Drosophila melanogaster: one gene and its partners. The protein of the gene in region 1 interacts with the protein of each later gene in a pairwise test. Each region holds a gene or a part of one and is shown on either strand. Other genes may lie near its edges.

Region 1 (3,446 bases):
TTCCCAGGTTCTGCTGCACCGAATCACATTTGTGTCCTTTGTGTTGTCGCAACTGAATTCTCTATTCTGTCCATGAATTATGTATCTTCTTCATATGCAATCTATTGGAACGTTAACCTCTCTTTGTTGATTTCTGTCTCTATACATATGTGTTGTTCGGTCCATGTTCGGTTTTGATTTCCATGATTTACTACTACTACTACCTCCTCATAAATGCCTAGCCTTAAGATATAAACTTGACTACTAGTTGCGCTAATGGAAACCTCTCCTTTGCATCTCTTTCTACGCTGGCCAATGCACAGAGTCGTGCGCCCATCTCGGCCAAATTGGTGGCCAACATGCTGTCCGTTGCTGGAGCGGATCACATCATCACCATGGATCTGCACGCCTCACAGATTCAGGTAAGTCAGCCCATCAACAACATTTGTATATTTATCTTTGATATTAGAGTGATTTCTTATCGTGCCGCGATTTGTATATCAGTCAATTAATTACGATAAAGAAAGTGTGATTTTCCTTTTGAACGACGTAACAATTTTTGTTTATTAAAGTGAGGCCAAAGAAATACTTATTTAAGGGTTTAAAATAAATTACAAAATATACAGTACAAATATATCCAATAACATCAGGTTTGAATCAAAAGAGGAGCTATAATCTCGCCGGATCCTCGGAGAACCGACAAATCCATCCGTTGGCTAAAAGGTGCCGAATTCATAGCAGGGTTCGGCGGCGTTGTCAGACCGGGATTGAAGCTCTGTGTCGTCATCGGTCCCGTTGAGGGTGTGTGGCATGGATAGAATGCTCACGGATAGTTTGGCCATTTGATGGAGTAGCACATCAATACGTTCATTCTTGAGGGCAATTGTGTTCTCCAGGTGATTGGCCCTCTCGGCAATGGAATTGATGTAGCGTGACTTCTCGGCACTCTCCCTAATAGCATTGGCATAGTGTTCGTACTCGACCACTTTCTTGGATACCTTCTTCATCTGTCCATTGACCACAACATTCACGTCCATGGTCAGCACCTGGGGTTGACTATCGATCGAGCAGGAGCGCTCAATCACTTGGGTGAGGGATCGGTTGAGAGTGCGTACCACAGAATTCTTGTTAGCCAACTTTTTAATCACCACGCTCTTTTGGGAGCTCGTTGGCGATACACTCAGACGGGGTCTTGGTCTGGGACTAGCGCACTTGGTCACCGCGATTAGTTCATGGAACAGTGATTCTATGGCTCCTGGCGCTGCTGACGCCAGCTGCTCCAGCTCCGAACGTGTCAAATTGATGCCCAATTTCTTCAGTACCTTCTGATTGAAGGTCTGCCAGCTCTGGAGTTTCAGGGCCACGCTGCTCTTGGGCGTATAGTTGTGCAGATCCACCAGACGAGGATGACTGCGCTTGACAATCTTTGCCACCGGCAAGACATCGGAGAATGAACGACGAGCTTTCAGATCCAGGATAATGCGCTGCTCCTTTAGCCACTGGTTCAGGTCATTCTGCTGTTCGTTCTCCATACTTAGCAAGGGGTGATTTGGGGTTTTCGGATTTTACCTGCTTTTTAATTTCTGTTGTAAATTTATTTTGGCAAGTCTAGCTTCCATATATGTTTCAGACAATAATGCTTGATAGACATACTCTCTGCCAATGACTGGCAGCTGTGTCAACTGGCAATGACTACTGGATGGCTAAATTAAAACTCATTCGATAAATTCTCCATTCGCAGGGCTTCTTTGATATACCAGTTGATAATCTCTATGCCGAGCCGGCGGTACTCAAGTGGATCAAGGAGAACATTCCCGAGTGGAAGAACTCGATCATTGTGTCGCCCGATGCTGGCGGTGCCAAGCGGTTAGTTGCAGTCTTTAATCCATATGCGTAATAGATTAATAATGCTATTAATATTTCACTTTAAGTGTCACCTCAATTGCCGATCGACTGAACGTGGAGTTCGCTCTGATACACAAGGAGCGCAAGAAGGCCAACGAAGTGGCCTCTATGGTACTGGTGGGTGATGTCAAGGACAAGATTGCCATTCTGGTCGATGACATGGCCGACACATGCGGCACCATTGTGCATGCCGCCGATCGCCTGGTGGAGGCGGGAGCCACCAAGGTGTATGCTATTCTGACGCATGGCATTTTCTCGGGTCCGGCGATCTCGCGGATCAATAATGCCTGTTTCGAGGCGGTAGTGGTGACCAATACCATACCGCAGGATGGACACATGCGGGACTGTCCCAAAATCCAGGTGGGTTATATCATATATATGCTTCTTTAGATGTGAATATAATTTTTATTTTTTTTTTCTCAGTGCATTGATGTCTCGATGATGTTCGCCGAGGCCGTCAGAAGGACACACAACGGCGAGAGTGTCTCGTATCTCTTCTCAAATGTTCCATACTAAACAACAAACAATCGGCAGAAAAACCAGCAAACGTTTGATAAAACAGCAACCAGAACACCGTTAGCAAGCCACAGCAAAATGAAAAGAGAAAAAAACCCACTTTAATAGCAATTTGTAATGCAATTTTCAACACAAACACAACAATTCGAAACCACATATTTTGCCATCATCATCGTTATATATTTTTTATGGATTAACTATTGTAATTAAAGTAAATGCAAACTCAGTAGATGGGAAATCGTCATTGTGTAATTATACTAAATAGGAGCATAAAAAATAACACTAAATACCGCAAAAAACAATACAAAAGTACACAAATGCAATGCCTTTCCTTTTGTATAGTAAGTTCTTTGTTTAAACAAACTTTTTGCCGTTTTCTGATTTTACAAGTTAACACGAACGATAAATTCCCAGTTGATTGGTGTAAACATTGGCCTGCTCTTAGAGAGAAATTTAGATTTGTAGATTAACACCGTAGAAGATATACACTCAAAACACACACACTCACACAAACACACCCACATGTACACCCACACACACAACAACAAAAAATTGTAATTTTACACTGTGCAACAACTTTTTGATGATTCTTTATTGTAAGCTCATAAAGAAAAAAAAAACGCAAAATACTTGCAAGTTCAAAACAAAATCTAGTAAAATTAAGTAAAACAAAAAAATACAATTGAAAAGAACATAGCAAATAGGCGTTAAAAAATAATAAACAACCAAACAAACAACAAAAATAAAACTAAAGAAAAAAATACAAAAAAAAATATTACAGAAAACTAATGCAAGAATGTGTTTTTACTGGATTTGTGGAAGGATTAGATATTGTCCTATAAAAAGGGAATATTTTCTTTTTCGTACTCGAATATAATTGTTATAGGATCTTTAGTTTACTTTTACTTTAAATGCTTAAACCAACTTTAATTAACTGAAATCCTGGTCTTATAAACCATATCCTCATCCCTTGTCCAAAGAAACTCATAATGATTCAAACTCTTGGTTAATTTATTTACACATAATTATTGGATATTGTAATGACT
Region 2 (5,407 bases), on another chromosome or scaffold:
GGCTTAAAGCGAGCGCCACCTGTGGGCAGAGCTTTGCACTTGGCTTCAGCGAGCTTTTCATCGTTTTATTTTGTTTTTTGGAAACCGCATCTACTGGCCACAAACAAGTCGAGAGCCAATAGTGTGAAGAGGCGGAATTGCACTTGAATTTGGCCATTTGCCTTTGGGCCCGGCCTAATTGCTGGCCGATTAATAAAAGTCAATTACCTTTCAGGTGGATGGCTTTCCGAGAAACATGAATTTCGATGTTATTGCCTGGGTAAGTATTCTCTAATTTTGACACTGCTGACGGCTTTTGGCTGCCGAACGCTTCTGCGTGCCACATAAATTTGGCCAAATCTAATTGAACTGGCAAATTGAAAAGCCAAAAACAAATTACACACACACACACCACGCACCACAATGCCGCCCAGGGTCAGTTTTGCTGGGCGCAAATTTAAATGAAATTACCAATTTCAATGCTATTTGGCCAATGTTTTAGACGACCAGAGCAGCGCCAAACTCAAATTACCGCCTCAATGGCAGTTAAACCGGCGATAACAAAACAACAAAAAAGCGAAAGTCAAATGGATGTCGATGGTTTGGCCATGCCAAACCAAATCCATTTGTCAGCTGCCAATTTCCATCAGTTATCATTGTTAGGGTTAATCGACGAGCCGGTTTTAGACCCAATTATTTATTTAGGGCCCCATTGTTTATGTTTATCGCCGTTTGACACCCTAGTGCGGTGCCAACACACTCGTCGTTGTTGTTTTAATTTCTTTTGGCATTTCGAATAATAATATTTTGGTTTACTTGCTGGCCACTCAATCGCAAATGCACTGGCCATTTGACACTGCCAACACGCAATTAAGCCGAAAAATAGTGCTGTTTATTTTCAAATTTAATTACAAAGTCGGAAAACTTTTAAAGTCAACAAATGGGAATTAAACTGATTAAGTTTCGTGTGCATTACTGCTAATAGCGATTTTATCTGATTACGATTTGTGCCAAAACCGTAACCAAACTGTATAAATATACAATTTAACACTTAATTTGCAGGTCTTGTTCAGTTTATTTTGGCTATTTATATTTGTTTGGGCTGTTTTGCTATATTTACCTTAATAGTTTTAATCTCTAGTAACAAAACATGGTATAAGTGATAAGCGCAGCTTTATTGTTTTCAATTTAAGAGAAATAGCAGAAGGTTTCCATGAAAAGCGAAGAGAAATAGCCGAAGGTTTCTATGAAAACTATTGTATTTGGCCATGTTCTCGATTTCACTTCCGCACAATTGTAGCAGCCTGCACATTCGAACCAACTAATTTACCAGGTTATCAAATGACTTAATCGCTGAAGAATTTGTTTATTTATTCGGTATATTTGAAGGTGTCACAATACGTAGACATGCAACTTTATAGCGCACCCAAAAACCGCTGCCAGCCCGAAAGTTCAAATATTTACTTAGCTCCACAAGTCTCATTTCCATGATCTCAGCTGGGTGTCAGCTTTGGATCTCGGAACTCAGATCTCAGATCTCCGATCTCGAATTCCGAATCTCGGATCTTGAACCGCAGCCACATTTTGGCGCCGAGCACTTACAACACCGCGTCAGATGGCCCAAAGTCATTAAGTTGTGGAAGGGGTTAAATGTGTGATGCTGGGGAGCTTGGCCAAAATGTTTGTCGTAGCCGATTGCGTCGGCCCAAAGCGCTCCATGTTCACTGCTCGCCGCTCGGCAACTTTTCAGCCAGCCAGCCAGCCAGCCAGCCACATACACCAGCCAGCCAGCTGGCTCGAAAAAAAATCAACAGACAGACGAAAAACAGTTTGCCAACTGAGAGCGCACGTTGAACACGTCTCTCGCTAGCCGCTTTTTATTTTGGCCCACAACGATCCGAGCACCTGTGCGAGTTTTCTAGCCCGAAAATGAGGAAATCAGCGGGAGGATTTCATTCCACATCCAATGAAGATGGGCAGCATGGCGATGGCTCCTCCGTGCGACTACTGAGAATTCCCAGAGCCGCACCTGCGATGGAGAACTACGGATTTCAGCTGACCCGCAGCAAATGGGATCCCTATCCCTGGGTAATAAAAGTGGCCATCGTTTGGAGATCCCGTCCCCTCCTAATTACCATATACCCATTACACCGACAGGTTTGCGAAGTGGCAGCCGGCACACCTGCCGCTCTCTGCGGCCTGAAACCCGGCGATTGCGTTCTGGAGGTGAGTAGAAGTTAGTGCCACAGGTTGGTGCCACCGTTGTCAGTTCTTTCAGCTCTCAGCCAGCAATGGACTGGCGGATTATGCACAGCGCAGACCAACTGCATTGGTAACTAAACTGCATTGGTAACTCAATCTGCGCCTGAACTCCAGTTACAAAATTAAGAATGCAATAGATCGACGCGGGGATTTACTTTGTAAACCTATTAAGAGCTTATTGAGACTGCTACTCAGGTTCCCAACTATGTGCATTCCACTTAGGATAGAAGAAAACAGAGTTTGAGGAACCCATTAAAATTATAATATATTTATAATCAGAAAAAAGTTCCTTTTGTTAGCTAACAGCTAGAAAAATAATGTAGTTTTTGTTGTAAAGCTAATTATGTATACTTGCGAGTTTTCAAGTCAATAAGTTCTACAAATTTGTGTGAATCGTAAGTTAAGATAAAAAGTACTATTCAGGAAAGCATTCCAATATGATGATTTGCACTTCTAGAAACAAATTCAAATCGCTATGGTCTTTTAAATTACGAATAGCTTGAGCTATGGAAGTTGGACCGTACATATATCCAAGTCTGGACTTTGCAGCCGCTATTGTAGCCGCATTTGTTGTTCTTCGTGGATATTGTTTACTTAAAATAGCAATGCAGTAAAACTTAATTGCTCGGCATCGACTTTATTTAGAAACTTTATTGGATGTGGAGTGGGGAACTAGAAACAGCTGGTGAATGCACAGCCCGCCCTAAAACTAATGACACAACTCGAACGTAGTAAAACAACTAGTTGATGACAAAGATTAATTAGCACGAAGTAAATATTCAAAGCAAATATCAGTTATCAGATAACAGATAACAGCCAATTGAGTTAACAGTGCTAGCTAAGGTTAACATCCGCAAGCAGTGCGTGCGATACAGCCGCAAGCAGTGCTTTCGAATTTGTAATTGTGTTGGCCATATTTTGTGGTATTCATTTGTTTTCTTTGGTAGCTCGTGGAAATCCAAATATTTAGATACTTGGTACTTGCTTTCTGTATGGCACTTATTTCCTAAAATAAATAAACAACATTTCCAGACATTTTCTATAAAATTCTATAATATTTTATTTCCAGGTAAATGGCAACGATGTTTTAGGCTTGAGAGTGTCTGAAATCGCCAAAATGGTGAAGAGTCAAAAGGACTGCGTCACAATTCTCTGTTGGAACAGTGAATGTGATAAGGACTGTGATACTAATGTGAGTATTTTCATTGCAGTCCTGAAATCCTTCTTTAAACCATCAAACACACTCAGTTATCCGTTCCCCATTAAAATCGCGCTAACACAATATTTTTTTCAAAAATCCATAGAGCATCTGCTGCGCCCCCATGCCCACCAGTTTGCGCCGCCTGTCCCTCGTCCTGGAGAGCATCCTGCGCCTCGTCGAGTGTCCTGTCTGCGGGGTGACCATCTCACCGCCGGCGATGCAGTGCCAAAACGGACACCTGCTCTGCGTGGACTGTCGCATCCGCTCGGAGCGATGTCCTGTCTGCCGGGACTTCTACACTCCCCGCCGAGCGCTGTTGGCGGAGCAAATTTTCCTGACCATTGCCAACGCCTTCGAGATGTGCCGCTCGGAGAACAAGCTGCGGCAGAAGCTCTTTGCCGGGATAACACGGCCAGTCGTGGGCCGACAGGACAGGATAACCGGACAGGACACCTGGCGAAAGCGCAGGCCAGTGCTGCCAACGAACAAGTTCCTAACCAAGTTGCTTGAGGGCTGCGCCTACTCGACGGATAACCTCAGTCCCTCGAATGCCGCTACTCTGCTGCGGACTAATACCACGGACGTCGCTGGCGACTCCAGTGAAATCCCGGCCAGAACATCGCCAGTGACAGCCACGCCCCCCGAAAGGACAACAATGCATGCCACGCTTGACGCGAATGCGGCGCATCCTTCACTCTCGACGAATGATTTACAGCAGGAAGGAGTTAAGCCGAATGCCGAGGGCGTTGACGAGGAATCCGGAACGAACAGCAGCCACATCTCTGCCACATCCTTGCATGGCCCTCCGCTACCAGCCTCCGTTAGCCCGGGCATCAATGAATCTTCCGGATTGCAACCCGTTCGCATACCTCCTGTCACTCCAAGCCAAGATTTGCCCCAGCAGGTTGTCCAAACTAAGCCGGCCTCGCTGTTGTACCGCTGTCCCTGCAAGCTGCAGGATCCACAGGATCCTGCAAAGGACCTCCACCAGAACTGCTGCTACAAATCCGCTTTCCGTCTGCTTTGAGCTCGGGCATCTCAATCAACAGCATCCTCTTATCAGGCGCGTCCCCAATTCGCCCCCCGCCCCTCTTGCTGTTTTCCTTTCTAATTAAATTAAATGCCAGTTGCTTGGCCAAAGTTGCTTATCGCGCAAAGAAACGAACCCGGCCAAAGGAATTGTATGGGTGTCAGGCCGGGACAAAGGCCCACGCTGGAGATGCAAAGAAGTTGGTCCAGCTAACTGCAGCGAAGAGTTCAACTTGGCCAAGTTGAGTTCTAATTGAATCACTCCTGAACGCTCCAATGACTTTGTGTCATTTGGCGTCCGAGTTGGTCAGCTCGATAATGAAGTCCGGATGGACTGCATTCAGGGAGCGTCGCAAGAGGAATAAAAATATTTTAAGTCAATTGGACTTTGTGCAAATGATCAATAGAATATGCAACATTATTTGAGTACTTGTTCATTCTAAAATCCTTTTCCCACTGCATACTCAAGGGCACAAAGTACAAACATTTCTCGCAGTGCAGTGCAACTTATGACTGCTGACGGCGACGCCACGCGCAGATGCAGGTCAATCAGTGGCAAAGTGAAGGATGCCGGACAAGCGCGTAATGAGCTTTATTTGTCATCGGGAGCAGGCATGGAACCTGTCCAGTCCCTGGTTTCTTGGTCCTGGTGGTTCCTGATGGCCCCATAATGACAGCCGCAGTTGGACAGCCATTATGCCGGCCGTTTACCATTTAATATTGATGCCGGACGAACCGCATCAATGGAGGAGCGAGCAACGCCAGCAACAGGCTTCAGTTACTCCAAACCGCATTCTTCCTATCGCTGCAGAATGGCCTCCCGCTGCTTCTTCGCCGGAGCGAGGCTGCCATGAAAATGTCATCAAAACAGGAAGTGGCAGTTTAATTTAAGCGCGTTAATTGAATTTTATTTTCTGCTTTGTTGATGTGCCGAAC
Region 3 (3,809 bases), 8.3 Mb from region 1:
AGAGGATTCCGACTCCAATTCCGACAGGCAACCAGAAGCAGCCCAAAGCGAGACTCAAAAAACCAGACGCATGCCCTTTGTGCCCCTGTGTGCGTGAGCCTCTCTCTCCTGCTCAACGCGAGCGGGTGTGTGTGTGTGTGCGCGCGTTAGAGGAGTTCTTCAGTGGAGAGCACTGTCACCCCTCCACGAATTGTATTTTGTTTTTGGGGGACGGCAATCACAAACACAACGAGCTTCCCAGAAATCGCCTCCAATTTGATTTGGCCAAACGAGAATTCGCGGAATAGCTCAAGCGCTCTATTGATAGTCAAAGGAAAGCGTTTTTGGGGAAAGGTATGGCAGAATAACAAGCATAAATATGCCAAATACAGGCCAATACACACGCACGAACTCACACACACACGCGTTCGATGGAGAATGCAAAGTAAAGTGCAGCAGGTGTGCGTGTATGTGTGTTGGTGCTATTCTGTTTGTACATTCTTTTCCATGGGTTTTTGTTTTTGGCCAAAGCCTGGCTGTTAAAGCAACAACTGCAACAACAACAGCACTGACACACAATACACACGCACACACGTAAAGCTCGCCGCTGCACTGGTGTTGGTGGTGGAGGCATCTGCAGAAGCCTTTTGCGCACTCATCACATTTTCGTGGAAATCGGAGCGCCAAGGAGCTGTGGAAAGGTGTATACTCCGCATCCGTTGCGAATCCTTGGCGAATCGAACTGTGCCACAATCATTCGTCCAGTTTGTAACCAGTTTTCAGTGCAGTCGCAGTTGTTGTTGCCAATTACCTTGTAGAAGCGATGCCATTGCGGCCCCTTGTCCTTGTACTCCGCCTCGATTTGCAGACGGGCAGCGGCCGCCGACCCACTCCCACTCGTTTTCTGCTCGCTCATTGTGCACACTTTGCTGCGATTTGTTCCGATTTAATAACTTTTAATTTGGTTATCAGGCGGCTGGTTAATTTCAGAGGAGAACTAGAGCTGGACAACTCACGACAGTGTCGATGTATCGAATATTTGAGCTTGCGAAATACTATCGGTATTTGCAGTGCGATACCGAGTGATAGTTCGATTGTACATCACTATATTGATCGCATTACATATTATATTCTCTTATGGTGATTCCTATTTACAAATGCAAGCCAAACACAATATATTGTATCTGCGACATTATTATTCTGAAATATTAGTTACGTCTATCGATATTTTCACCATCAAATAATGTGACCAGGCGCTGTAGAGCAATAGAACACATACTGAAACTAAAGTGCTTGCGCAGAAATTAGAACTTTACTGAAACATAATATAACATTCGGGATAAGTTTTCTATAATTTATATAAAATTAAATACTTAACTAAAGACATAACAATATAAAAACAATTGAAATAAAATATTTTAAATAAAAATAAAATAAAAAAAATAAAATAAAATATTTTAAAAGTAAAATAGAAAAATTCTGATAAGAAAATTGGGTTCAAATACTTTAAAATACCGATATTACAATCGCTCATCGTTGACCAGTGTTATCGAGTAATACCAAAAGTATCGAATCAACAACTGTTACCCAATTTATTAATAACAACAGAAAGAAGCCAAAGCAAAATGCTGACCCGCGTGTTCCGCCTAGTGCACGACAGGCGCCTGAGTGTGCCTGTCCTGCGTTGCTTCCACCACGAGTTCTCCAAGCCGCCACAACAGGCAGCGAAGGGCCAGGAAATCGAAGGCAATCCCGAAAAGACTTTGGTTGCCGGCGTGCAAGACAAGTACAAAATATTCCGCGATGAGGAAGCCACGGAGATTTTTGATGTGGAAGAGGCACGCCACCAGGAGCAGCAACTTCCAGAGCCGGACCTGGAGCTGGATCACTATTACGGCCTCAATTTAAAGCGTAGGTTGGCAATCGTCCAGGGAGAGCAGAAATTTAAGCCTTTGTTTCCCTTTGCAGGAGGTGTTCGCGGAGTGTTCGACGTTGAGGACTTGGTGGAGCTGCTCCGCAAGGAGAATGTGGACGACATATTCGTCTGCTACGTGCCGGAGAACCTGAAGTACGTTGACCACCTGGTGGTTTGCAGTGGTCGCAGTTACCGACACATGCTGTCCACCGCGGAGTTCGTGCGCCGAATGTTCAAGATCAAGCGGGGCAAGGGTGACATATTGCCGCGCATCGAGGGCGATAAGAGCCGGGATTGGATGGCCATGGACTTGGGTGGGTATTGAAATAAATGCATATTCCGGTTTCTCCGCTCTAACACGTTCCGTTTCCTTTTAGGCAACATTGCCCTGCACATATTTTCACCGAGTGCTCGCGAGGAATACGATCTGGAGTCGCTGTGGGCCATTGGCTCCGAATTCGACCGCGAAAGCCAAAAACCCACCAATCCCTATGGCGATATTTTCATGGCTCAAACACCCCTTTCTTTCGTAGACAAATCGAAACTAAAGACGTAAAATAATACATTTCACTATTAATAAAAAAAAACTCTTTAGAGCTGCGTACGTGCGAGATCACTTGCAGTGTGATTTGGAAAAACAATAAGGTATGAATAAATATTTCGTGTCAGACTTGTTATTCTCGTGTCACGGCCAAAATAACTATGCGATCGCCCATCTCTAGTTTCTTACTGGGTGCATTCGCTCAGGCAGCCATCTTTAAAATAACTGTAATTTTTATTAACATCGAGCTCTAATAGGGCAATAATAGCCATAATCCGTCAGAATATGACAGCAGTATTTCCAAACAGGAGCTAAATTCTTTTGTAGATGGCCAAGCGACGCTAGCGCCACCTATTTCTGAAAATCTGATAATAACAAGTGCGCACTAAAGTATACTGCAAAAAATGAAAATAACTCTTCTTTTCAGAGAATAAAGGCAGATTCCCTTATATCTATGAAATGTCACAATCAAATTGTTATATATTTGATATGTGATGTATTTTAATTTGTCTTTATCGAATATTGTCGGTATATCTGGTTGTAGCAACGCGTCGGAACATTTTCTCCATTCAACTGGAAGATGCAACAATAGACAGTTAATCCTGTAATTTAGGGTTTTAATAACTTTAAGAAGCCGTACAGTTTGATAGATAACAAATTGTAATAAAAACGCAAAATAATATATTATGAACCAGAAAGCATTCCAATGATTTTATACTTCACAATCGAATTTCCCATTCATTCAGAGAAAGCCATTAAACTCAAATCTCAATGGCTCGAATATATCCTGCGGCGTTTTTTAACGACTGTTTGCTCAAAATATAAATACGCCCACTCAACGATGTTCATTGTGTTTTTATAGTCATCGGGCGAGGTGTGAACAAGGCTGTTTTCAGCACATTGATTTGTGGATTTGCACCGGCCAGCGGAATGCTGAATGAAATTGGAAAATCAGGGAACTAGGGTCCAAGAAGGAGATCCTCCTGGCATTTGGAAATCATTTCTTCGCAGGCCATCAGCGCCAGTTGCGTCACGAGGAGAATTCGAACTTAATATTTTTAAAATACGTTTTCGAAAATAAGTTATCGATGGTGTTTATGAAAACAAACAATGGCCAGTCCGGCGAACGGTGCGATAATCCAATGAGCCAAAGAGCCAGACGGACGCCAATTGGCCGACACATGATAGGCGTTAAATTTTATGAAATTGCTGAAAATCTTGAAATGCCAATTAACGGCTTTAATACAATTTGTCGACGTCAATCAGCAATGATGGAGCAGCGAGTGGAGTGAGGAGGATTGGGCTACGGCCGCTCGTTTCACTTTTCCACTTGGCCATGTGATGTGATATGGGAGGAACTTTCCGCTGGGGGAT

Evidence for each region. The genes of interacting proteins can lie anywhere in the genome.
Region 2: the proteins of CG16719 (region 1) and CG6688 interact in a two-hybrid assay, tested with the Drosophila melanogaster proteins (one large-scale study listed by BioGRID).
Region 3: the proteins of CG16719 (region 1) and CG9166 interact in a two-hybrid assay, tested with the Drosophila melanogaster proteins (one large-scale study listed by BioGRID).

Annotation. Positions count from the first base shown.
Region 1 is NT_037436.4:9,683,320-9,686,765, reverse strand, and holds CG16719 (uncharacterized protein), read right to left. Parts: upstream 1,596-3,446; 5' UTR 1,512-1,595; coding exon 696-1,511; 3' UTR 516-695; downstream 1-515. Other genes in the region: Prps (phosphoribosyl pyrophosphate synthetase), read left to right, coding at 303-401, 1,721-1,845, 1,911-2,244, 2,308-2,400.
Region 2 is NT_033777.3:23,010,606-23,016,012, forward strand, and holds CG6688 (uncharacterized protein), read left to right. Parts: upstream 1-1,806; 5' UTR 1,807-1,908; coding exon 1,909-2,067; intron 2,068-2,136; coding exon 2,137-2,205; intron 2,206-3,310; coding exon 3,311-3,433; intron 3,434-3,545; coding exon 3,546-4,469; 3' UTR 4,470-4,870; downstream 4,871-5,407.
Region 3 is NT_037436.4:1,349,582-1,353,390, forward strand, and holds CG9166 (uncharacterized protein), read left to right. Parts: upstream 1-1,534; 5' UTR 1,535-1,604; coding exon 1,605-1,890; intron 1,891-1,947; coding exon 1,948-2,208; intron 2,209-2,271; coding exon 2,272-2,450; 3' UTR 2,451-3,272; downstream 3,273-3,809. Other genes in the region: Ptp61F (protein tyrosine phosphatase 61F), read right to left, coding at 791-895.